3 linked regions of the Pelodiscus sinensis genome follow. The protein of the gene in region 1 interacts with the protein of each later gene in a pairwise test. Links are inferred from orthologs where the notes say so. Each region holds a gene or a part of one and is shown in the gene's direction. Other genes may lie near its edges. The genes, in order: GIT1, PFDN1 and HMOX2.

What was found.
Region 2: the proteins of GIT1 (region 1) and PFDN1 interact in binary tests that used the Homo sapiens proteins (3 or more experiments, as listed by UniProt). The link is inferred for Pelodiscus sinensis from reciprocal best matches to the Homo sapiens genes GIT1 and PFDN1.
Region 3: the proteins of GIT1 (region 1) and HMOX2 interact in a two-hybrid assay, tested with the Homo sapiens proteins (2 studies listed by BioGRID and IntAct). The link is inferred for Pelodiscus sinensis from reciprocal best matches to the Homo sapiens genes GIT1 and HMOX2.

The regions. Positions count from the first base shown.
Region 1 is NC_134731.1:2,290,611-2,297,887, reverse strand, and holds the start of GIT1 (ARF GTPase-activating protein GIT1), read left to right. Parts: upstream 1-4,252; 5' UTR 4,253-4,283; coding exon 4,284-4,602; intron 4,603-7,277. UniProt on the Homo sapiens protein: GTPase-activating protein for ADP ribosylation factor family members, including ARF1.
Region 2 is NC_134727.1:2,154,801-2,161,841, forward strand, and holds the start of PFDN1 (prefoldin subunit 1), read left to right. Parts: upstream 1-3,998; 5' UTR 3,999-4,091; coding exon 4,092-4,124; intron 4,125-5,036; coding exon 5,037-5,203; intron 5,204-7,041. UniProt on the Homo sapiens protein: Binds specifically to cytosolic chaperonin (c-CPN) and transfers target proteins to it. Binds to nascent polypeptide chain and promotes folding in an environment in which there are many competing pathways for nonnative proteins.
Region 3 is NC_134726.1:3,838,679-3,846,029, forward strand, and holds the start of HMOX2 (heme oxygenase 2), read left to right. Parts: upstream 1-4,348; 5' UTR 4,349-4,502; intron 4,503-7,351.

The DNA.
Region 1 (7,277 bases):
CATGCCTAGGGTGCAGTACAGGGTATATGACACACTTCCCCGCTTCCCCTTCCATTCCCCTGTGCTTGGCATGCCCGTCCCACTCTGCCTCCGCCCCCCGCCAGCCCCTGCAGCCACAGGCCACACACGCTCGGCCCCAGCAGGAGCGGGGATTACCAGGGGCGTCCTTCCGGACCCAGCCCTCTCCAGGCCTGTTTTCCTCCCCAGCGCGCCAGCTCTCCAGGGCCGGGGCAGCCGCTTGCGACGTGCCGGCTGAGCCCAGCGCCATGGTGGAGGGGGGGTTGCTCGAGGAGCCGCAACAAAGCGGCATTCAGCTCCGAGGAGCAGCCCCCGCACGCCCAGCTGGGGCTGGCATTTCTCGGCCCAGCGTGTGTGGCTCTGCATTGTTCAGCAGCGGCCATGCTCCAGCCCAGTGGCAGGCGACGTGGCAGGCGACGTGGCGTCGTGCATGCCCACGCGCGGGGGGGTCAGAGAGACACGCGTCACACTTGGAGTGCTGCTAGCGTGCCCTGGCGGATTGTCTTCCCCTCGGCCCCTGGGCTACAGCCCCATCCTTCGCCATGGCGATGGGATAACGGGCACGCTGACAGCGTGTCACGCCCTTGCCCCGCCCCCTGCCCTCGGGGGTGCCCTGCGCCCCTGGCTGGGGCTTAGAACGGTTCACACTTTGAGTGTGCGCCCAAAGGTTCACTAGTGTGAGTTCCGTGTGCGGGGTTTCCGGAGCCACTTTGATCCCGGAGCTAGCTCAGGCCACAGAGCAGCTCTTCCAGGCCTGTGGGCCTCCAAGCAGCAGCTGAGCAGGGAGCTAAACCTGTAGCGGCGTCAGTCCCCACTCCACGGAGCCCAACACGGTAGACCCGGCAGGAGGAGAAGTGACATGCCCAAGGTTACCACGCAGGGCAGTGGCAAAGCTGGGCGTGGCCCGCAGTCATCCTGACACCCAGCCTGGTGCCCTGGTCCCTGGCCCATTGTCTCCAGACCAGGTGTCTAGGCTGTGCTGTTGCTCGCTGGGCCAGCTGTGAACAAGCCTTTATCGCAGCCACATCCCCAGGGCAGCGTTGGAGCGCCCTGCCCAGTCATCTCCCACCCGGCGTGGGCCGGCACCTAAAAGAGCAACCCCCTGTCTACGGGCATGGGCACTTAAGCACCCAGGCCCGGCTGTGAGCAGCCCAGGGCCAGGAGGCAGCCACAGGGGTGTGGACGCCCCCAGAGCAGAGCCGACCAGAGATCGTTTCCCCTGCAGCGTGGCAAGGGCCCAGCTGGCGAGGGCGTGGGCTGCTCAGGCAGGGCAGGGTGCGTGCCACCCCAGGGCGCCGGCACTAGCAACCCCTCCCCGCCCGGGCATAGACATTGGCTAGTGCTAGGGAGGGGTTGTACCTGCCACAGGTCCCCTGCTGCCGGCCCCTGCCCTCCGCCCAGGCGAGTCGGCACGTGCGGGGCACAGGGCTGGGGGCAGACAGGGCCTTTGCCTTCCCAGCGGTGGCTGCGGGGGGGTGAGGCTGGTGAAGGGGACGCAAGCGCGAGGAGGGGGGAGAACCCCCGGGGGGTATTTGCTGGGCTGCCAATGGAGCGGGGCTACCGGGGGCTTGCGTCCTGTCCTGCCAGCCCCGCCCCCCGGCAGAAGTGCTCAGCGCCAGCCTGGCCAGTGGGCTCCAGGGTGCCCAGCGCCTCGGCAAAGCCGGCCCTGGGGCAGCGGTGCCCGTCCGGACGTGCATCCCGCCTTCCCAGGCCTCAGGATCCTGCCCTCCCCCCCGCGGGTTTCACGGGCGCCGAGAGAGTCCAGGGCCAGGCCTGCCCTTCCTCGCCTAGTGCTGCATTGCTGGCCTCCGGGCCTGGCCCCTGTAACTGGGGGAAGCCGGCGCCCTGGGGCGAGGTTCCACTCTTCTCGGGGAGCAACGCCCTGGGACGACGGCTGGCTGGGCGGCTCCCCCACGTCCCTCTGCTCCCAAAGGGTGGGGGTGATTGGGAGAAAGCTAGTGGGCTGCGCCCAGGGGCCTGGCTCTGTAGGGTTGCCAGGTGTCCGGTTTGCCCCATCCAGTAAAAAACCAGAAAACATTGGACATGTGAAATGTCCGGTATTTCCGATTTCCCTCGGATGGAAGCCTGCTGCATCTGCATTTTCCCCTGCTGCATCTGGCAGGTGTGGGGAAGTGAGGAGCTCAGCGCCATTTAAAGGCACAGTGCCTTTTTTTTTTTTTCTTTTTGCTCAACAGAATTTTTTCCCGTTTGTTTTTTTTTGGAGGGTGTTCGGTATTTTTGTTAAACCATCTGGCAACCCTATGGCTCTGCGGCCTGGAGGACGGTGCTCCAGAAGCAGGGACGCCCGGTCACGTGCTCCTTCTTGTGGAGCGTGGCCTGGACCGTAGCTCAGCGTGTCCTTGCCGGAGGGAGGGGGTGGCCCTTCTGACACATGCCGGGGAGGGCGCCCGCAAACTGATCCAGCGATTTCCCCAGCGGAGCCAGCGATCCTCGGTGACATCAGACCTGTCTCCACAGCAACCGGCAGCGGCCTCACCCTCGCGGGTGCAAGGGGCAGCTGGGCTGGGAAGAGCTGGGGGGCCAGGCGGGGGAGGGGAACGCAGGATGCGGCTGCTCCCACAGCTCAGGGGCAGGCCAGGGCCCAGGCGGGCTTCCAGGCTTTGGTTAGCCCTGAGGCGCTCACGGCCCCTCCCCGGCTCTTTGGGGTTCCCAGGCACGCCAGAGGCATTTTGTCTTTTTTCCCAATCCCCCCTCCAGAGCTGCATCCTGCACCCCAGCTCTGTGGCCCAACCCTGTCTCAGTGCAGAGCAGACCCGGGGGCGGAGCGAGCTGGGTCTGCACCACGGCTCCTGCCCAGCAGGGCCGGGCCCAGCGCCAGGCGCGGTGGCTTGGTGCCCGTGGGTGTCTCTGGACAGCAGTGCTTCGGCCCAGGGCTGGGCAGGTGCTCTCCATGCAAGAGGCCAGCTGGGCGGGGGAGGCTTTTCCCCGCCGATCGGCGCACAGAGGCTGAGCGTGAGTGTGGGCATGGGCACAGACAGCACCTGTGGCCGCAGAACCACCAACCATGCCCACGTTGGGCCCAAGCAGCACCTGGGTTCCCCACCAAGGTTCCTGGATCAGAGCGGGGCGGTGGAGCTATTGCAGCCGCCGGTGGGAGGAGGGCCGGGATGGGCAGAGGGACTCAGCCCCGTAGCTCCCAGCTTGCCCTGGGTTTCTCCCTCCTCCGCTGTCACAGCTGGGGTGCAGGCTAGGGATGTTAAATATCGGTTAACGGAATAGTCGAGTAACCTCGTGCATTTTTATCGGTTAGTCGACTATTCTCTAGTCCCGGGGGTGGGGCTGGCAGCCAGTGTATCAGAGGCAGCATGGGGTGCCAGGCTGGAGCTGGTCCACAAGGGGAGCCAGTTTAAAAAGCAGCCCCTGTCCAAGGGGGATCTGAGCTCTTGGACCTGGTGCGAGTCGGAACTGAGTGGGGCTGCCTGTCCGCCCGCCTGGCTCCTGATACACTTTAAAAGCAGAGCCGCCGCAGGGGCAGGTTCTAGACCTGGCATGAGCCGGGCTGCTGGCCAGCCTGCTAAATCCTTTCCTGGCAAGGGGAGGGGAGGGGAATACGTGTGGTCTGTAACACTGACCTGTGAGCTTTCGCTTATCGGTTAATGGACGGTTACATCCCTAGTCCCGGCCTGCGGGCGGGCGGGCGGCTCTTGAGCAGAACTGGCCCTGGGCGTGCGGGGCCGGGCCTGGAGAGCAGGTGGAAACGTGCAGCAGAGACGTGGGTCGGTCCCCCAGGCATATGGGGGCGGGGAGCAGAGTGGTGAGGGGCTGCCAGCGGACGCGCTGAGCGGGCTGTCTGAGAGGACGGGCCTGGCGGGTGGAAAGGGGCAGGGGACGCAGGGACCACACCAGAGAGTGGCGCTGAAGTCCCCGCTGGCCCTGGGGGGGGATCTGCAGTGTCGCCCCACAGAGGGGTGTAATGGCTGAGATGGTGGCAGCTTTCCCCATGCATGGGGGGCAATGGGGGAGAGACCTTGCGAGGGGAGCCAGCTGGCAGCCCCCCCCCCCCGAAATCCTGCAAAAGTGGGCGGAGCCGACCCGAGCCAAGGCCCCGCCTCCTCCTGCAGGGGCGCAGAGCCAGGGACAACAAATGGCCAATGGGGTGGGGGGGTTGCAGGTGTGAAACCAATAAAGCGGAGCGGCCCCGAGGTGGGAACCCCGGGCAGCCCCAGGCAGGGCCCCAGCGTGCAGACGGGGGGCCAGGGCGCAAGGCAGGGGCGCGGCGCAGACGAGCGCCCCCGGCTGCCCGCATGGAGCAGGGACCGGAGCCCGCGCCCCCCTGCTGCGCGCCGCCCCTGCGCGCTGGAGCTGCGCTGCGCCCCCGTGCGCCCGCCGCTCCATTTCCTCCGGCAGGCCGGGCCCGGGGGGGGCGGGGAGCCTGCGCCCAACCCCTCCCTGCGCAGGGGCCGGGCTTGCGCCGCTTCCTGCAGGAGCGCGGAGCCGTGGGAGCGGCGCGAGCCCCGCACGGCCCGGCCCGGCCCGGCCCCGAGCTGGCCCGCAAGGCCGCGCCGCGCAGGATGTCCCGGAAGGTGCCGCGCAGCGAGGTGTGCGCGGACTGCAGCGCCCCAGGTGAGCGCCCGGCCTGCGGCTCCGGCCGGCCAGTGCCAGGCCCCGCGGCTGCGCTGTGCGCGGGGACCCCGGCCCTCCCCAGGCTCGGCCCCCCCCGCGCCCCGGTGCGTAGAGCGGGGGCCCTTCCTGCCGGGGATGGAGCCCGCGTGGGCTTGGCGGGGATGCAGAGAGCCCGGTGCCCGGGGGGGGAATCTCGCTGCGCCCCTGCCAGCTGGGCACGGGCTGGGCACGCGCCCCTGGCACGGCGCCGTGGCGCATGGTGGCGGTGGGAGCCCTCGCACCGCCCGGGCGCCTCTCCCCTGCCCCCCAGCAGCCCCACCCGCCGTGCCCCCCAGCCCAGGCTCTGCTGCCCAGGTGCCAACCCCGGCGACTCCCTAGGCCAAGTGCTCTTGTTTCCCAAAGCCCAGGGTGCCCCCCAGCCCTGGCCGGGAGCCGTGCCAGTCGGGCACGAAGGGTTCCCCGGCAGGGGTCTGGTTGGGTGCCGTGGGCAGGGGCAGCCGGGGCGAGAGGGTGCGTCCGCTGGGGCGTTGAGTAGGCAGATCGCGGGGCTGGAATGGGGGCCCGGTGCCCGGATGAACATGGTCTGTGGGAGCTGGGCGTGGCCCTGGTGTGGTGCCCCCGTGTGTCACACCGAGCCCAGCCTGGCGTGACGGGGTCCCTCGCTGTGGGACTGGGAGCCGGCTCCTCCATCCATAGCCACATGAGGAAATGAGCCTGAAAATCCAGCGGGGCTGTTTCCGGCTGGGGGTGTGCGCCAGCCTGGCCTCGGGCTGGGCAAGAGCTGGGAGCGCGGTCACGCTGGGGTGTTCCCAGCCTGCTGAGAGCCCAGCACATCTGTGGCCCCAATCCAGTTCCCTGTGGTAGCCACCCCCTGGGGCTGGGCAGGAGCCCTGGCCTGCCCCCTCTGCTACTCTCTGGACGTGCCTGGCATGGGCTGGCCTGGGGCACATGCCAGCGAGGGGTACTGGGGGCTCCCAAGCAGGTGCCCTGCAGGGCCCAGGGCTGAGCAGCGGTGAGGTGGGAAGAGGGCACCCCCTGCTGGCGTGCCCAGGAGAGGGCCTTGCTGTCCGGGCATGGGCGGGCACCGGGAGCCAGCTATAGCCGTGCCATGTTTCCAGCTGCTCAGGGTGGGATCGGGGCCACAAGGCCGTCCTGCGCACCCGGTGGCTTCTGAGATCCTACTGCTACGAGAGGGAAGGGAAGGGCAGGCTGGCACCGGGGGTGGGGTCGCTCCGGCTGCCCCTGCCCTGTGCCCTTCGGCACCTGGGGATGCCTGCAGCCGGGGGGTGGGCGGTGCGTTCTGTTCCTGCCGGCGGCTGTGCGCACACAGCACAGACACAGCCCGTCTCCCTGCCAAGGCCGCCTGTGCCTGAGCCATCTGCGCGCCTGCGAGGTGCCCACGCGCATCCTTCAGGGCCTGGGGGTGGGGCACGCGCGCTTCCTCCCCACCCGCACCGTGGGGCAGAGCGGAGACGAGCCAGGGGGTGGCATGCTTGGGGCCAGCTCCCCTTCCCAGTCGTGCACCCCGGTGCCAGCCAGGAGGGGCTCCTGCGCCGGGGGGAGCCAGGCTGCCTGCCCCTCCACCAGTGGCGAGCTCTGCAGTGCCCTGCAGACAGGCTGGGGAGCTGTTTGGGGGCTGGAAACCCGGGCGCTTTACCGGCGCTGTGCCCTGGGCAGGGGGCTCCTCTGTAGCGAGCCGGGACAGGCCTGTGTCTGAAGGAGGCCTCCGTGCCCTTTTCAGGTAGCTCTGGGACACCCCCCCTCCCCGGCTCTAACCTGGCCACTGGCCCCTCCCCGCTCCCAGAGCCACATGGGACTGGAGGGTGCCCCCGTGCGGGGAGTCAGCACAGCGCTGCTGCACAGGTCCCTGGGCCAGGCGCTCTTGAGCAGCCAGGAAGGAAGCGTGGGGCGGGCCGGCTCCATCCGCAGCAGCCCGGCTTCCTCTGCAGGGATAACGGGAACTGGGCTGTGGGGCCGGTGCCAGGGCTGGGGGGGGTCGTGCTCATGCCCCCCACCTCCTGGCATTCAGCTGCGGGGAGGCCGGGGGCCCCGGCACTGCTTGCGTGCTGGCTGGTGCATGGGGAAGGGGTAACTCCTTGGGGCAGGGCTGTGGCAGGCGCTGGAGCTGGGCCTGCTCCCCCATCAAACCTGCTTCCCTCAGCTGGGCGCCGGGCTCCGGCTGCTGCAGAGGCTTTGTCCGGGCCTAGTCAGGCCTGTCCTGGCGGCCCCTTCCCAAACCTCCCTCTGCCCGGCTAGGGCCCGGTGCCAGCGCTGGGCGCTGGCCAGGTCGCTGGGCTGGGCCCATGTGGGGCAGAGCTCAGGGCTCCGGCCCAGCGGCGGGGGGCCTGCACACGGTCCCTGTGGCTTGGACCCCAGGGCCCAGCTCATCAGGTTGGGAGCCCAGCTGGGAGCTGGGGCTGCTGCCCCCCTGCCTCCGCCCACCCGGCGCCAGCTGCAAGGGGCGCACGGTGGCAGGCTGAGCTCGTGGCGGCTGGGGCTGAGGAGGGGCAGGGCGTGTGGGCAGGGCAAGCCGCGGCGTGGGGGCTGGGCTCTGTCCCTGGGGCTGCCCGCGCTGGGCTCCGTGCCCTGCTCGGGTGAGACCCCTGGGTGGTGCTTGGGCGGGTGCTGCCCGCAGCTTGTGGCTGTGGCCTGGGAGCAGCGCGAGGCAGAGGCAG
Region 2 (7,041 bases), on another chromosome or scaffold:
GTTAAAAGCATTTTTGGAACAAAGCATCTAGATTGGCACATCGCCATTTTCACAATCGGGGCTTTTTTGTGGAAAACAAATCTGAGCTGTCTACACTGGCCCTTTTGCACCAAAGTTTCGCGCAAAAGGGACTTTTGCCTGAACGGGAGCAGCATAGTATTTCCGCAAGAAGCACTGATTTCTTACAGCAGGAAGTCAGTGCTTTTGCGGAAATTCAAGTGGCCAGTGTAGACAGCTGGCAAGTTTTTCCGGAAAAGTGGCTGATTTTCTGGAAAAACTGGCCAATCTAGACACAGCCAGTAAGTGTAGTTGATGCCGTGCTAAAAGCACATGATGCCACGTCCACATTAGGGCACTCGCCATCGCTCTCAGCTGCCCTGAAGGCAGAAAGGGGGGAGGACAGAGTCCCATCCAAACCGTAGTGTGGACAGAAGCCCTATGGAATTCATACAGTAGGCCAGGGCTGGCCAACCCACGGCTCGCAAGCTGCATGCGGCTCTTTCCCCCCACTTCAAGTGTGGCTCAGGAAGCCTCCCCCATGGCTCACAAGGCTAACCCTGTGCCCCTAAAAATGGCCCCCGTCCCCTGTTTCTCTGTGCTCACTGCCACCCAGAGTTCTGTTTAAAGGCGCAGTGTCCCCCCCCCTTTTTTTTTGCTCGACAACTTCCCCCCCCTGGCTCTTTGTGCTATATCCCCAACTATTGTGGCTCTTTGCCTTTAATGGGTTGGCTACCCCTACACTAGGCCATGTCTACACAGCACAAATAACCAGATATAAACTAGGCTGTTTTAACCCAGTAATGGCCCAACCTCGTTATGATTTATCCTTCACTGTGTGGCCAGAAAGAAAATATCATAGCCGTGGTATAGGCCACCGTATCTCTCAGGGTGGGAGGATGTGGTATTCTCCCTTATGCGGACAGAAGGGGACATGTTATAATGTGGCTGGACTACATATATATCCAGGAGAGAGCTGGATGTGTTTCTGTGTGTGACTGTAGGCTGGGGTTCCCTGGGATGGTTGGGGCACGGCTCAGCAGCCCTGGGGCTCACTTCTGGTTTATGTCTTACGTTTCCAAAAGCTCTTTTGTAAAGCAAGTCAGGCTCTGCCTGGATGAGGGGCCCCATGTCACAGCAAGGTCTTCTTAATAATCATCAGTCTGCCTCTGTCGTTAGCGATAGTTCTGACTTTGTGCCTTAGTTACCCATTTTCCTCTGGCCATAGGGATCTCCTCACTCTCACTAATGGGTGCGGAGACAAACAGCCCACACCCGCATGCCATCCTGCGCCGTGTCTGCCACACGGCTTTAGATCACCCAAATCAATACCAAATGCTCCCACTACGGCATGTGAAAGGGCGGTTTGCTTAAACCAACACAGCAAATCCAGCGCCAGCATTCTGGCTAGGAGGAATAACTCACTTCCTTGCTCTGCACATTTTTCTAGAGGTGACCTCACCTGGTCACCATTAGCAAAAAGGAATTTGGTTGCTAACAACAGTCACACAAAGCCGCTCCAGTCCTCAGCCCAGGAGCCTATTTTGCGAGCTTTTTGCATTGCACACCCCCTTTCGGGAATTCAAACTGAGAGTCAGCCTGAGGGTTGTGTCATTCTAGGATCCCTGTGTTTGGTTCTGCTCAGCATGTGACTCCCCCTAAGCTGGAAGAGAGCAACCCTTTCACAACGCATTCGCTTGTGCTCCAGTGCTCATCCCACGCACTGCAGCAGCCCTGCTGAATGAGACATGCTTTGGATCAGCACTGGGCCACCCTGGAGCTCGTGGATTGAAGGGGACAGTTCCTGGGACTCCTCGCTCTGATGTACGGGGCAGGCTTTTCAGTTCTTTAAAATCCCACTTGTATGCACCTGTCCTGCTAGTGCAAGGTGCTGGGCTGAGAACCCTGCACGGGACTGGAACAGTGGGCAGCCGAAGGCAGCTCGCCAGCCCTGCCATGCCAATGAACCCGGACTCTGACCTGGGAGGGCTCCGTTAGGTAGCGTTCCTATGACTCTTTCAGTCCTTGGCTCTCTGCTGAGGTTCCAATAAGACTGGCTATTTGTCCCTACTGTAGCTATGGTTTCTGTGATGAGGACACTTGTCCACAGGATGCAGGATTGAGACCTCCCTATTTCTTCAAATTAAGAAGCAGTTGGAGGCTGCCTGCAACGGAGGGGCAGAAATCCTTTCAATGAAATTGGAAAGCAACACATTTTAAATGGACAAAGGGAAATGCATTTTAATATAATGTCTCCTTAAACGGCTGTATATAGTTAGGTACGTTTCCAAAAAGGCTGGGAGAGGCTTTGTAAAAAGAACAACCCTTTCTATGAATGTCTGCAATGACAGTAAATTAGAGGAGCTGCCAATCCTCATGTTTCAGGCTGTAAGCTCATCACTGCCTGCTCAGGAATGAATTTTGCTTGGTGGTGTAGTATTGCACAAATGGATTACAGGGCGTTTATATCTTCTCTTGCATGGGGTATAAGAACCTGGGTGGTCAGGCACTGGCCAATGTTTCCATTAAAACCAACAGAAGCCACAGGTTCTTAGCACTTCTCAAGATTAGCCCTATGATGCTTTACGGCTGTGTCTAGACTGGCCAGTTTTTCCAGAAAATCAGCCGCTTTTCCGGAAAAACTTGCCAGCTGTCTACACTGGCCGCTTGAATTTCCGCAAAAGCACTGACTTCCTACTGTAAGAAATTAGTGCTTTTTGCGGAAATACTATGCTGCTCCCGCTTGGGCAAAAGTCTCTTTTGCGCAAAACTTTTCCAGTGTAGACAGCTCAGATTTGTTTTCCGCAAAAAAGCCCCGATCGCGAAAATGGCGATTGGGGCTTTTTTGCGGAAAAGCGCGTCTAGATTGGCCACGGACGCTCTTCCGCAAAAAGTGGTTTTGCGGAAAAGCGTCCATGCCAATCTAGACGCTCTTTTCCGAAAATGCTTTTAACGGAAAACTTTTCCGTTAAAAGCATTTCCGGAAAATCATGCCAGTCTAGACATAGCCTACATGTTTAAAGCACTGCACCCACATCAACAAATTAATCTGATCTAACATTACAAACCGTTCCAATTAAATCCTACTTTCCACATTGCATTTGATCACTACAAGTGCTGTGGGATTTTATGCTTCCTCGCTTGAGGCTCAGACTCTGGGAAACAAAACGGCTCCATAACTTTAATTCCAATGCGAATTAAAACCCACAACAGTCACTAGTGAACTGATCTGAATCCTGGTGGACAATGCTCTCTCAATAACAGCTTCTCCTTTCCCTTTGATTCACCCTCCCGTCATTCCTTGTGAAATCTTCCAGTGTAATTACACCAGGCCCTACCCTCACTGACGTCAATGGCATGCTCCTGTTGACTTTCACGGGAACCGGAATAATTCCTGGGATGCCCAGCTCCTCAGGCAAGGACTTTATCTTCATATTGGCTGATAAAATGCCAAACACACCTGTTATGTAATAATGCTAATTAATAACTACATGTACAGTCACGTGATACTGTTTCTGGTCCCTGGTTGGCAACCTATAATTACAGGCTACATGTCCACCTATATAGTGTGATGAGCTATCCATTATGTTTATGTGGCCTCTTGATCGATTTGCAACAGTGCAGACTTCCAGCCACTACAATTCTGCAGTGGCCTGGGCTGGTATGTACTGGCACCACTTTCTATGGGATGGAGTTAGAGCTGCTCCACTGTGTGTCAAAAGCCCCATATTGCAGATTCTAATGGTGATTCTCCGTTAGCTCCAATGGCCTGAAGTGGATCTGGGTGGTATCCCTGCTGCAGTGCAATGGGGGGGGGGGGGGGGTTGTCTTGCTGGTAGGGTTGACAACCCTCCTGGATTGCCTTGGAGTCTACATGGTTGTGTGCAAGGCCGCCCCTTGGGGGGATGCAAAGCTTCTGTGTGCAAGGCTGCCCCTGGGGTGGTGCAAGGCTGCCCCTCCCCCTCCCCCTTCCGCTCCCGGGTTGCTGGTCACAGCACGTGCTGCTGGGTGCTGAGCCAGCCGCTCTTGTTGCTGCGCACGCGCACTGGAGCAATTCCCGCTCCGTTGAATGCGCGTGCGCAGAGTGCGGCAACATGGCGGCGCCCGTGGACCTGGAGCTGAAGAAGGTACCGGCCGGGCCCGCCTGGGGCGCTGGGGGCGGCGCTCGGGGGCTGCAGCCGGAGGCCCCGGGGCCGCCCTTGCTGGGTGTCCCGAGCCTGGCCCGGGCAAACAGCGGGGCCCTGCCCCTCCCCCCGCCCGCGGCCCGGCCCGAGTCTCTCGGGGGGGCCCTGGCCCGTGTCGCTGGGGGGGCCTGGCCCGTGTCGCGGGGGGGGGCCCTGGCCCTGGCCCGTGTCGCGGGAGGGGGGGCCTGGCCCGTGTCGCTGGGGGGGGACCCTGGCCCTGGCCCGTGTCGCTGGGGGGGGCCCTGGCCCTGGCCCGTGTCGCGGGAGGGGGGGCCTGGCCCGTGTCGCTGGGGGGGGACCCTGGCCCTGGCCCGTGTCGCTGGGGGGGGGCCCTGGCCCTGGCCCGTGTCGCTGGGGGGGGGCCCTGGCCCTGGCCCGTGTCGCTGGGGGGGGGGCCCTGGCCCTGGCCCGTGTCGCTGGGGGGGGCCCTGGCCCTGGCCCGTGTCGCTGGGGGGGGCCCTGGCCCTGGCCCGTGTCGCTGGGGGGGGGGCCCTGGCCCTGGCCCGTGTCGCTGGGGGGGGGGCCCTGGCCCTGGCCCGTGTCGCTGGGGGGGGCCCTGGCCCTGGCCCTGGCCCGTGTCGCGGGAGGGGGGGCCTGGCCCTGGCCCTGGCCCGTGTCGCGGGAGGGGGGGCCTGGCCCTGGCCCGTGTCGCGGGGGGGGGCCCTGGCCCTGGCCCGTGTCGCTGGGGGGGGCCCTGGCCCTGGCCCTGGCCTTGGCCCATATCTCTGGGGGCCCTTCCCTTGCAAGCCCCTGCTGCTCCAAACGGAAACAGCAGCCCAACGTGCTATGGCCATAGTGCTCGAGAGCATCCTTTCCCAAGCCGTAACGGGCCCTCTCTCCCCCCCCCCCCATTAGGCTTTTACTGAACTGCAGGCCAAAGTTATCGACACGCAGCAAAAGGTGAAGCTGGCAGATATACAAATTGAACAACTCAACAGGACAAAAAAGCACGCACACCTCACGGATGCGGAGATTATGACTCTGGTGGATGAGACTCGCATGTATGAAGGTGTAGGGAGAATGTGAGTAATTTTTACTGATGGAGAAGGTTACGGCTACACTCTGCCCCATTGCCAATAAAACCTGCTGTAATTAATTGCATGTAGATTATGCCACTTTGAGAGATTTCTTTCTACAGTCAATGAAGCAATACCAGGTTTGTAAATATTAGATGCCTTCTGTATTACATCTTACCTGCTATACCTCTACTCTTCTTTTTCAAAACATACCTTCTTTGTATGAGAATGGGAAACTGTCGTATCCAGAGGTGGCAGTTAGAATAGTGGTGATCCTGCACAGGGGAAATTCACTCTTGGCCATCTGCAGGGCTTTTCTATCTCCTGTAAGTTGTTGAATACAGGGACAGAGGCTCTCTCATTGTCACTTATTTGTTTGAAAAGCATTCTGGCTTTTTTGTATCATACTGTGTTTGTTTAGGTGTCATCTTATCCCATTTTTAATTATCATTTCAATGGATCTTCGGTAAGTGAGACTTTAGTAATGGAGATTGCCTGTCTCCTAGAACTGGAAGGGACCTTGCAAGGTCATCGAGTCCAGTCCCCTGCCTTCACAGCAGGACCAAGTACCATCCCTGATGAATTTTTGTCCCAAATCCCTAAATGGCCTTTGCAAGGATTGAACTCACAACTCTGGGTTTAGCAGGCCAATGCTCAAACCACTGAGCTATCCCTCCCCCCTTACTGCACTGTGTTTCTCAGGATCAACCTTATAGGTACAATGTTTGCTACCTACCAGTTTTCAGACACAATTTATTTCAGTGAGTGATTACATATTTTTGTTTGTTGGTTTTTCTCATGTGAACTATAATCACATTTGGGACTTCATGAAAGTTTATCGATTCCACCAGCAGAGTTTGTATTCCTCATGAATGCTGATGACAAAATGTAGATTTGCAAGAAGTTATAATTAGCCTGTTCAACTTTATGCCTCATGAAATATGTATTTGTCCCTAAAAATTGTGGGTCTCCTAATTTAATGCACTCGTTCAGGGGCTGTGGTTGTACAAAGGAACTAAAATGGTGACTTCTTTAAGTTCTGTGAAAGGTGTTCTCTGGACTCTTTAGAGACCCAGGTGTAGTGAAATTGATACCAAAGAATTGTTTGTTCAGGTGCACTCTGGCATATATTAATTTTAAAACAATACTAGTAAAGAAGGAAAATGTAATCTTTGCACATAGGTTTCTTTTGAAGACAGTCCAATCTTAAACTAAAGCTACTATCGGGGTAGCCGAGTTAGTCTGTACAGAAAAAACAACAAATAGTCTGGTATAACTTTTATAAAGTGCTACCAGACAATTTGTTGTTTTTAAAGCTACTCTGTATTTTGATGTCTCGGGTCTGGCACATCAAAATTTGATGGAATGCTAATGATGCTTTCCTATTGTGATTACGATACCCTCTTGTAAAAGGCTACATGAACTAGTCTTTAAGTTAATAGCACATTCTTAATGGATAAGTGTTTGTGCTTAATGCTCTGAAAATTAAAGACAGACCAAGGTTTGGGAGTACTAAGGTTTTTCTTTCTGGTATTGTATCATAGTATCGACAAATTGCCACTTGAAGGGGTGTTCTGTGTCTCTCTTCTAGGGGTCCAGTATACTGTATGTACTGTCTCTTTGTGTCCTGTAAACTGCGAGTAAGCACATTATTCATGCCGCTGAATTGAATTTTGTGGTGTTATATGGAGGTCGTATTGACAGGCACCTTCAAAGGAAATTAATTTCAATCCCTTCCAATGAGGCAGAGAAGTGAATGATGCAGCCTGTAGGCAGATCAAAGTCATAGAGTTTAAGGCCAGAACAGACTACCAGATCCATCTAGTCTGTCCTCCTGTATGTCA
Region 3 (7,351 bases), on another chromosome or scaffold:
CTTTGTTTGCTCGGTAGCATAATCTCAGCCACACACACACCCTTCAGTCTAGTCTGTGAATGAAACCATCACTCTGTAGCTAAGCCTTGAGGCATTGAGCCCATTCAGCTCCCATCTTCAGGATCATTCCCATCTGCCGTGGAATCTTCTGATCCCAGCATTCCACCATTCTCCCATTCATAGATTCCAGGACGAGAAGAGACTGCTGTGATCGTTCAGTCTGGGCTTTTGTATAGCACAGGGCTTGAAACGTCCCCAAAATAACTCCTCGAGCAAAGCTTTTAGAAAAACAGACCATCTTTATTTGAAAAATTGCCAGCAATGGATACGCTACCGTGACTGCTGGTAAATTGTTCCGATGGCTAATTACCCTCACTTAGAAATGTACGCCTTATTGTCCAGGCTGAATGTGCAGCAGGCACAGCTGGGGGAAGAGTGCATGTCCCTTGTCTGGGGGACAGACAAACTCTCTGAAATATATAGTATATAGTAGATAGCTGGCCCTTTCTTCACCCCTGCGCCCTGCTGGCCCAATGAGGGTATAGCTAGCCTGGTCCCCATCTGGCTCCTTGCTGCCCCATCCCTGCCAGTAGTCATTCTACACGAGCCCTTTCCTTTTCCACATTATAGAAAACAATCAGATTCTAGGCACATCCCATTGTCCTGGCACAACCAACCCCTGACCTTGCTTTAAGTTATGATAAGAGGAAGTTGGCTACCGAATTTGGTGGTCCTAGCTCTTACCCTTTAGGAGGAGTTCTTGAACAAAGGGACTCAGACAGATGGACAGGCTGACAGACGCACATTTCTAAAATATATAGTAAGATTATATATCAGGGAGGCCACTCCAAGAATTTGGTAAGTGGTCAAGGGCCACTCTCTTCCATGATATTAATGGGGGAGATGTGAGATCTGGGAGGGAATTTGGGTGAAGGAGTGGGTTGTGAGTTGGGGCATGAGTATATAAGGGGGTGCAGGGATTTGGGGTATGATCTGGGGCAGGAAACTGAGGTACAGGAGGAGGTGTCAGGTCTGGGAGGGGGTATAGGTGCAGGAGAGCATTCTGCTCTGGAGGAGGGGTAGAGGTCAGGGCACAGGGCATGGGAGGGTGTTGTAACCTGGGGCAGAATGCAGTGGTTTAGGTGGTGACCTAGGATAGGAGGGGCTTGTGACCTGAGCCAGGGGATTGGCATGCAGGGTCTAGGAGGAGATATGGGTGAAGAAGCATGATTGTGAACTGAGTTAGGGATGCAGGTGAGAGGACAGAGGGTTGGGAGGAGGGTGTGGGTGGAGTGCCAGGTGCAGGCTCTGCCTGGGAGGTGCTTACCTTAGGCGGCTCCCAGCCATCAGCCCAGTGGAAGCCTCAGGCAGGCTCCCTGCTTGCCGCAGCCCCACATACCATTCAGAGTGGCCAACTGCAGGGGCCATGTGCTCTCTGTGTGTTGCACTCTCCTGGGGGAGGGACGGGGACTTCCACATGCTACCTTACAGGGAAACTAAGACAGGAATCCATGTTCTCAGGCTCAGGTTAGATGCCCCAGTTAGTCAATGAGTCCGGAATTTATTTAGCGCAGTTCAGTTCAGAGCAGCAGCTTATCCATGAGTGAAGGATATGAAAGCTGCATCCAACACAAAGGGTGGCAGGTGGCACTGAGAAACTGAGCAGCAGAACAAGTAAAACAGCAAATCCTTCTCTGTGTCTAATTCAGGAGTTCTCAACCTTCACCATCGTGGGAACCACCCCTTACTAAAGAGTGTCTTGTGGGCATTTCCCTCCAGTCATGACTGCCAACCTCCTATTTATGACTGCTTGCCCATCTCCTTTCCTTCCTCCCCCCTCTGTTTGCTTGCAGACTGATTTCCTTGTCATTCACCATCATATATCTTCTCCATGGCAACTGAAGCAATTTCTTACAAATCACATTCAGTGTTTTAGTATTTGTCATTTCCTTTAATGGAAAAGAACAGCGGGAAAAAAAGAAGAACCAGCAACATGCGGCCAAACAGCTTTCTGCGGTTGCCCTAAAAGGGCCAGAGTTTGTGACCTATTGTTTTAATTTAAGATTGTGGGGAGAGACTTTTCCTTGGGAGGCCGAGGAGGAGCTTGGGAGAGGAATTATTCTTCCAGGAGCCTGAGAAGCATGGGTCAAGAAATTCACTAAGGACAGAGGATTACAGAAATATCCAAAACACAAAACCTGCTAGCAATGGGGGATCTCTTGGAAATGTAATACGGCAAAACACAAAATGTCCATTAAGTTCTTGGAAGGTATTGTAGACAACTTTATCTTCCAAGACAAGACAACTTGTTCCAGGAAATGGAGGAAATAACTGGGGGACAGCTGTTTTTGACTTGATTCTCATGAATACGAAAGACTTGATAGGAAGCTGAAGGTGGAAGACAGTTTGGGTGAAAGCGACCATGAAATGATAGATTTCATGATTCTAAGGAAAGGAAGGAGTGAGAGCAACAGAATCAGGACAATGGATTTCAAAAAAGCAAATTCACTCGAAGTACTGGTAGATAAAGCCAGATGGGAAGAAAATTCTAAGGCCATGTCTTCACTGGGGGAAGATTGATGGTGCCATGATTGATCTTCCGGAATTCCATTTAGTGGATCTAGTAAAGGCCCGCTAAATCAAACTCAGAGAGTGCCCCTGTCATAGGTCCTCACCTTGCTCTTGTGGGGAGTAAGGGAAGCCAGTGGGGGAGTTTGCTCCCATCAGCTTCCTGCTGTGGGAACAAGGGGAAACTCTAATTAAGGCATGTCAACTCCAGCTATGTAATTAACAGTGCTGGAGTAGCATATCTTAATTTAACCTTCCTCTTTATTGTAGACATGGCCTAAGGGAAAGAGGAGTGTAAGTCATCGAGCTTGTTCTCAAGGAGACAATGTTAAAGGCACAACTGCAAATTATCCTTCTGAAAGGAAAGATAGGAAGATTATTAAGAGGCCAATATGGTTCCAACAGGAGCTCTTTAAAGACCCACAAATCAAAAAGGAATTTTACAAAAAGTGGAAACGTGGACAAATCACTAAGCAGGTATACAAAAGAATAGTACAAACCTGTAGGAACAAACTCAGAAAGGCTAAGGCACAAAATGAGTTAACTTAGCAAGGGTCAGCAAAGGTAATAAGTTTTTAAAATACACTAGGAGCAAGAGAAAGAGAAAGTGTAGGTTACTTTTCTTATGAGGAAATGAGTGAGCTATTTATTACCTATCTTGCTTTAATCTTAACCAAAGTGGTCAATGGTGACCCACTGAATAGAATTAATATTAACAAAAAAGGGAAAGATTAGGATAGGAATAGTTAGATAATTTAGAGTACTTAAGTCAGCAGGTCCTAATGACATGCATCCTAGGGTACTTAAGGAACTAGCTGAAGCAATTGCAGAATTGTTTGAGAACTCGTGCAGGATAGGTGAGGTCCCAGAAGAGGTAATGCCTACTTTTAAAAGGGGTGATAAACGAGGACCCAGGGAATTATAAACAGTCAGCCTAACTTTGATACTAAGCTATTGAAAACGATCAACTTATAAGCACCTGGAAAAGAATGGGCTTATAAGGACTTTCTGTCGTGGATTTGTGAGACCAAATCGTTCCCTATCAATCTGATTTCCTTTGTTGACTGAGAGTGCGGGGGGGGGGGGGGGGGCAGAGGGTGGGGTGATCTGGGGCTAGGAGAAGGGGCAGGATGGGAGGTGCGTGGATGGGTGCGATTGGAGGGTCAGTGAGTCTAGTCTATTGCCTAGCGCGGGGCGGGGGGAGTCTGGCAGGCCCTGGGGCGCTCAGTGCTGGTGACAGACAGGATGGGACACAGGGGCTACGTCTAGACTGGCATGATTTTCCAGAAATGCTTTTAATGGAAAAGTTTTCCGTTAAAAGCATTTTCGGAACAGAGCGTCTAGATGGGCACGGACAATTTTCCGCAAAAGCACTTTTTGCGGAAAAGCATCTGTGGCCAATCTAGATGCGCTTTTGTGGAAAACAAATCTCAGCTGTCTACACTGGCCCTTTGGCACAAAACTTTTGCGCAAAGGGGACTTTTGCCCGAAGGGAGCAGCGTAGCATTTCTGCAAGAAGCGCTGATTTCGGACAGTAGGAAGTCAGGGCTCTTGCGGGAATTCAAGCGGCCAGTGTAGGCAGCTGGGAAGATTTTCCAGAGAAGCGGCTGATTTTCCGGAAAAACGGGCCAGTCTAGACACAGCCCCTGAGGGTGTTGCAGGAGCCAGGGACCCAACCCCCAGTGGGAGCGCAGGAGCCGCCAAGGGAGCGGAGGGAGCAGGAGGCTGCGCACCACGACCTGTGGGCGGGGCCTCTGCAAAGGGGTGGGCACTGTTACGTCACCGCGCCGATCACGTCAGCCTGGGCTGAAGGACAGAGAAGCGCGGCGCTGCCCCGCCCGCACATGAATAATTAATCCCCGCCGGAGGCTTTTGTCCCGCCCCTTTCAGCAGCCAGGGCAGCTGCGGCGCCGAGGGGAGCTGTTGCCGAGCGGGTGAGCGCGCGGGAGGGACTAGCCCTGAGGGGGCGCGGACCCCCTGCCGGCCGGGTGGGCGCGCGGCCGCGGGAGCCGCCTCGGGCAGGGGCGGGCGGCCCGGGGAGCGAGGGGCCGCGGAGCCGTAGCCCTGGCAACGGGCGTTGAGCCGGGCGCGAGCGCGGGGGCCGGGCCGGGGTGGGGCGCGCGCGGGTGGACGGGGCGGGCCCGGCGGGGTCCGCGCCCGAGGCCTCGTGTCACGGCCGCCCTGGCCGGGTGCAGCCGTTCCCGCCTGCTCCCCTCGCCCCTCCTTCAGCTTCGGTCTCCTCCCGCTGGGCCCGCCTGTGCTGGGCCGGGCTCCGCCCTTCCCTTGCTGCCCCGGGGCCCGGCAGCTGCTGCTACTCCCGGAGCCCGGCAAGTTTCGGGTGGCCGCAGTGTGGTCCGGGTGGCGCTGGGGTCTGGCTCTCCCCGTGCAGCCCCTGCCCCTCCCCGCCGTATTGCGCAAGGGCCCAGCAGTCCCCTTGCCCCCCATCTAGCTACTCTGTGTCGATCACTGGCCGACCCGCAGCGTCCTCCTCGTTAAGCTTATTGCTTAAATCATTCTGGTTAGGAACACAATAGAGCCTGTGCATGAGCGTATCTTTAAGAATAGAGCATACTTGTGTGACTGGAGGTCTCAGGCTAATTTCAGTGTTGCGTGTCTGGAGCTGGGTGTAAAAGGAACTGATGGGCTTGCTAAAAATTCTTCGTGGTAACGGGAGTGCGTTGCAAACAAGCAAGCAAATGTTTGACAAGTATTATGCGTGGATGAGTAACTGCATTACTGAAGCACAGAATTATAGGACTGGAAGGGATCTCAGTAGTTCACTCCCCTGCACTCAGGACTAAGTATTATCTAGACCAGCGTTTCCTCAAACTGTGGGTCCTGATATCCCATGGGGTCGTGAGCAACTTAGAGGGAGATTGCAAACAATTTAGAGGGGGGTTGCGGTATCATAAGTTTGAGAACCTCTGATCTAGACCATACCTGGTATGTGTTTGGGGTTTTAAGAGTAGGTAAGATGATGCAGATTTTGCAACTTCTTTAGGTAATTTATTCCAATGTTTAAATACCCTAATGGGAAGCTTTTCCTAATGTCCATCCTAAACTGCCCTTGCTGCAGTTTAAGCCTGTTGCTTCTTGTCCTATCCTCAGTGGTTAAGGAGAACAATATTTCTCCCTCCTCCTTATAACAACTTTCTCCAGATTACATAGCATTTTCTTAAGGAAGGAACTGTTTGTGTTGAGAAGACAGATTAGATGACTTTGTAAAGGGCCATATCACTGTAAGTAGAAATACCCAGAAAACACACTACCTGCTTTCTTATGGTATAAATGACTCATAAATGACTTGGTATTTTTATCTTTCTCTGTAAACAGTTTTATAAAAATGTACTAAAGAAATGGAGCCAATCGGAGCAGAGGCAGCAGGGCACTAGAAATATATTTAATCTGCTAACCATGGTAATCCATTAACAAGACACAAACAATATGTTACTCTTTTCTACATGCCTTATTTCTGGAAATCACTCAGGAAAATCTGCAGTCTTCTCACTCCAATGAAATTGGTTGGTACAACAGACTATGCCAGGCCTAGTTACATTTCTAATATGCCAGTGCATCAATCATAATGAAAACTGCTTGAACAGTGGTTAATTGATCCAGTGAGCCATAATTTGTGACCTAGCAGAGACAGAGATTTTCCTAAAGTAAATGTCAAAAAACTGCTGCTGGGAATTTAGTTTCCTCAATAGGTTCCTTCTGTTGTCTAGTCAAACCACAGGATATACTTGGACAATTTCAAAATAAACCAATAATGTGATTTTTTTTTTTTAATCGAAAGATCTTCAGTTTTCCCGTATGTCAGCATTTCCTTGTAGTATCACAATTCATAGATGTACTGCTTTTTGCTGCCCACCGGATACCTCTTCCGCTTAACTCCAGCTGACTCCTGAAGAAACTGACTGCTGTACTAGAAGTATTGTCTCTGGAATATCTTCATTCTGAAATCAGTTATAGGCATACACCTCTGAATTTATCTAGTTGGCTTGCTGTTTTTTTGAATTGTTTAGTGTTGGGCTTACTAAGTGTCTTGTTCAACCAGATGATTAACAGTTTACTCCTCTACCATTTAGGAATCAAAGATAATCTCTTGCTTGTACTGAGATAAGGAAGCATCCATCCCAGATGTGTTCCTTCCTGCAATCTTGAAAAGAAGATGGGAAGGTTCACAAATATCTACTCTTAGCAATCACAGGAAATCTCCCACCTGTTCCCAACAAATGTGAACAATAAAACTAAAAGATCATGTCCCTGCTTCATCAGATCCAGTTTCCTGCTTTTGGCTATGGACATACATTATTGTATGTTTAATTGAAAAGTGTCATACAGGTAGTCCCTAAGCTACAAATGCATCGATTTACGACCGTTCAGCCTTACAACCAACCTCCCATTAAGCATGTCCCCGAGTTACGAACACACAATCCGCGCTTAAGAACAGCGCAGTTACATGTAATTGAATGGGGTCCGACTTACAAACAGATCGAGTTACAACCAAGTGCTTGGTATGTAACTCGTTTGTAAGTTGGGGACTATCTGTACTCCTATAACGTACTTGGTCAAATGCAGCATGGCACATGAGCTTGGAGACACAATCATGTGAGGGACTACGTTCTAGCTGCCACAGTGGAGTGACAGTAACATGGAGGATGTTCCATGATATCATGGAAAGCCTACTCTCATCCATTTTTCCCCCTTCCATTAAAAAGCTCTTCTGCCCTCTTATACCCTGTATTTTCAAAAGAGACGTGGAACTAAATTTTCTATGGCA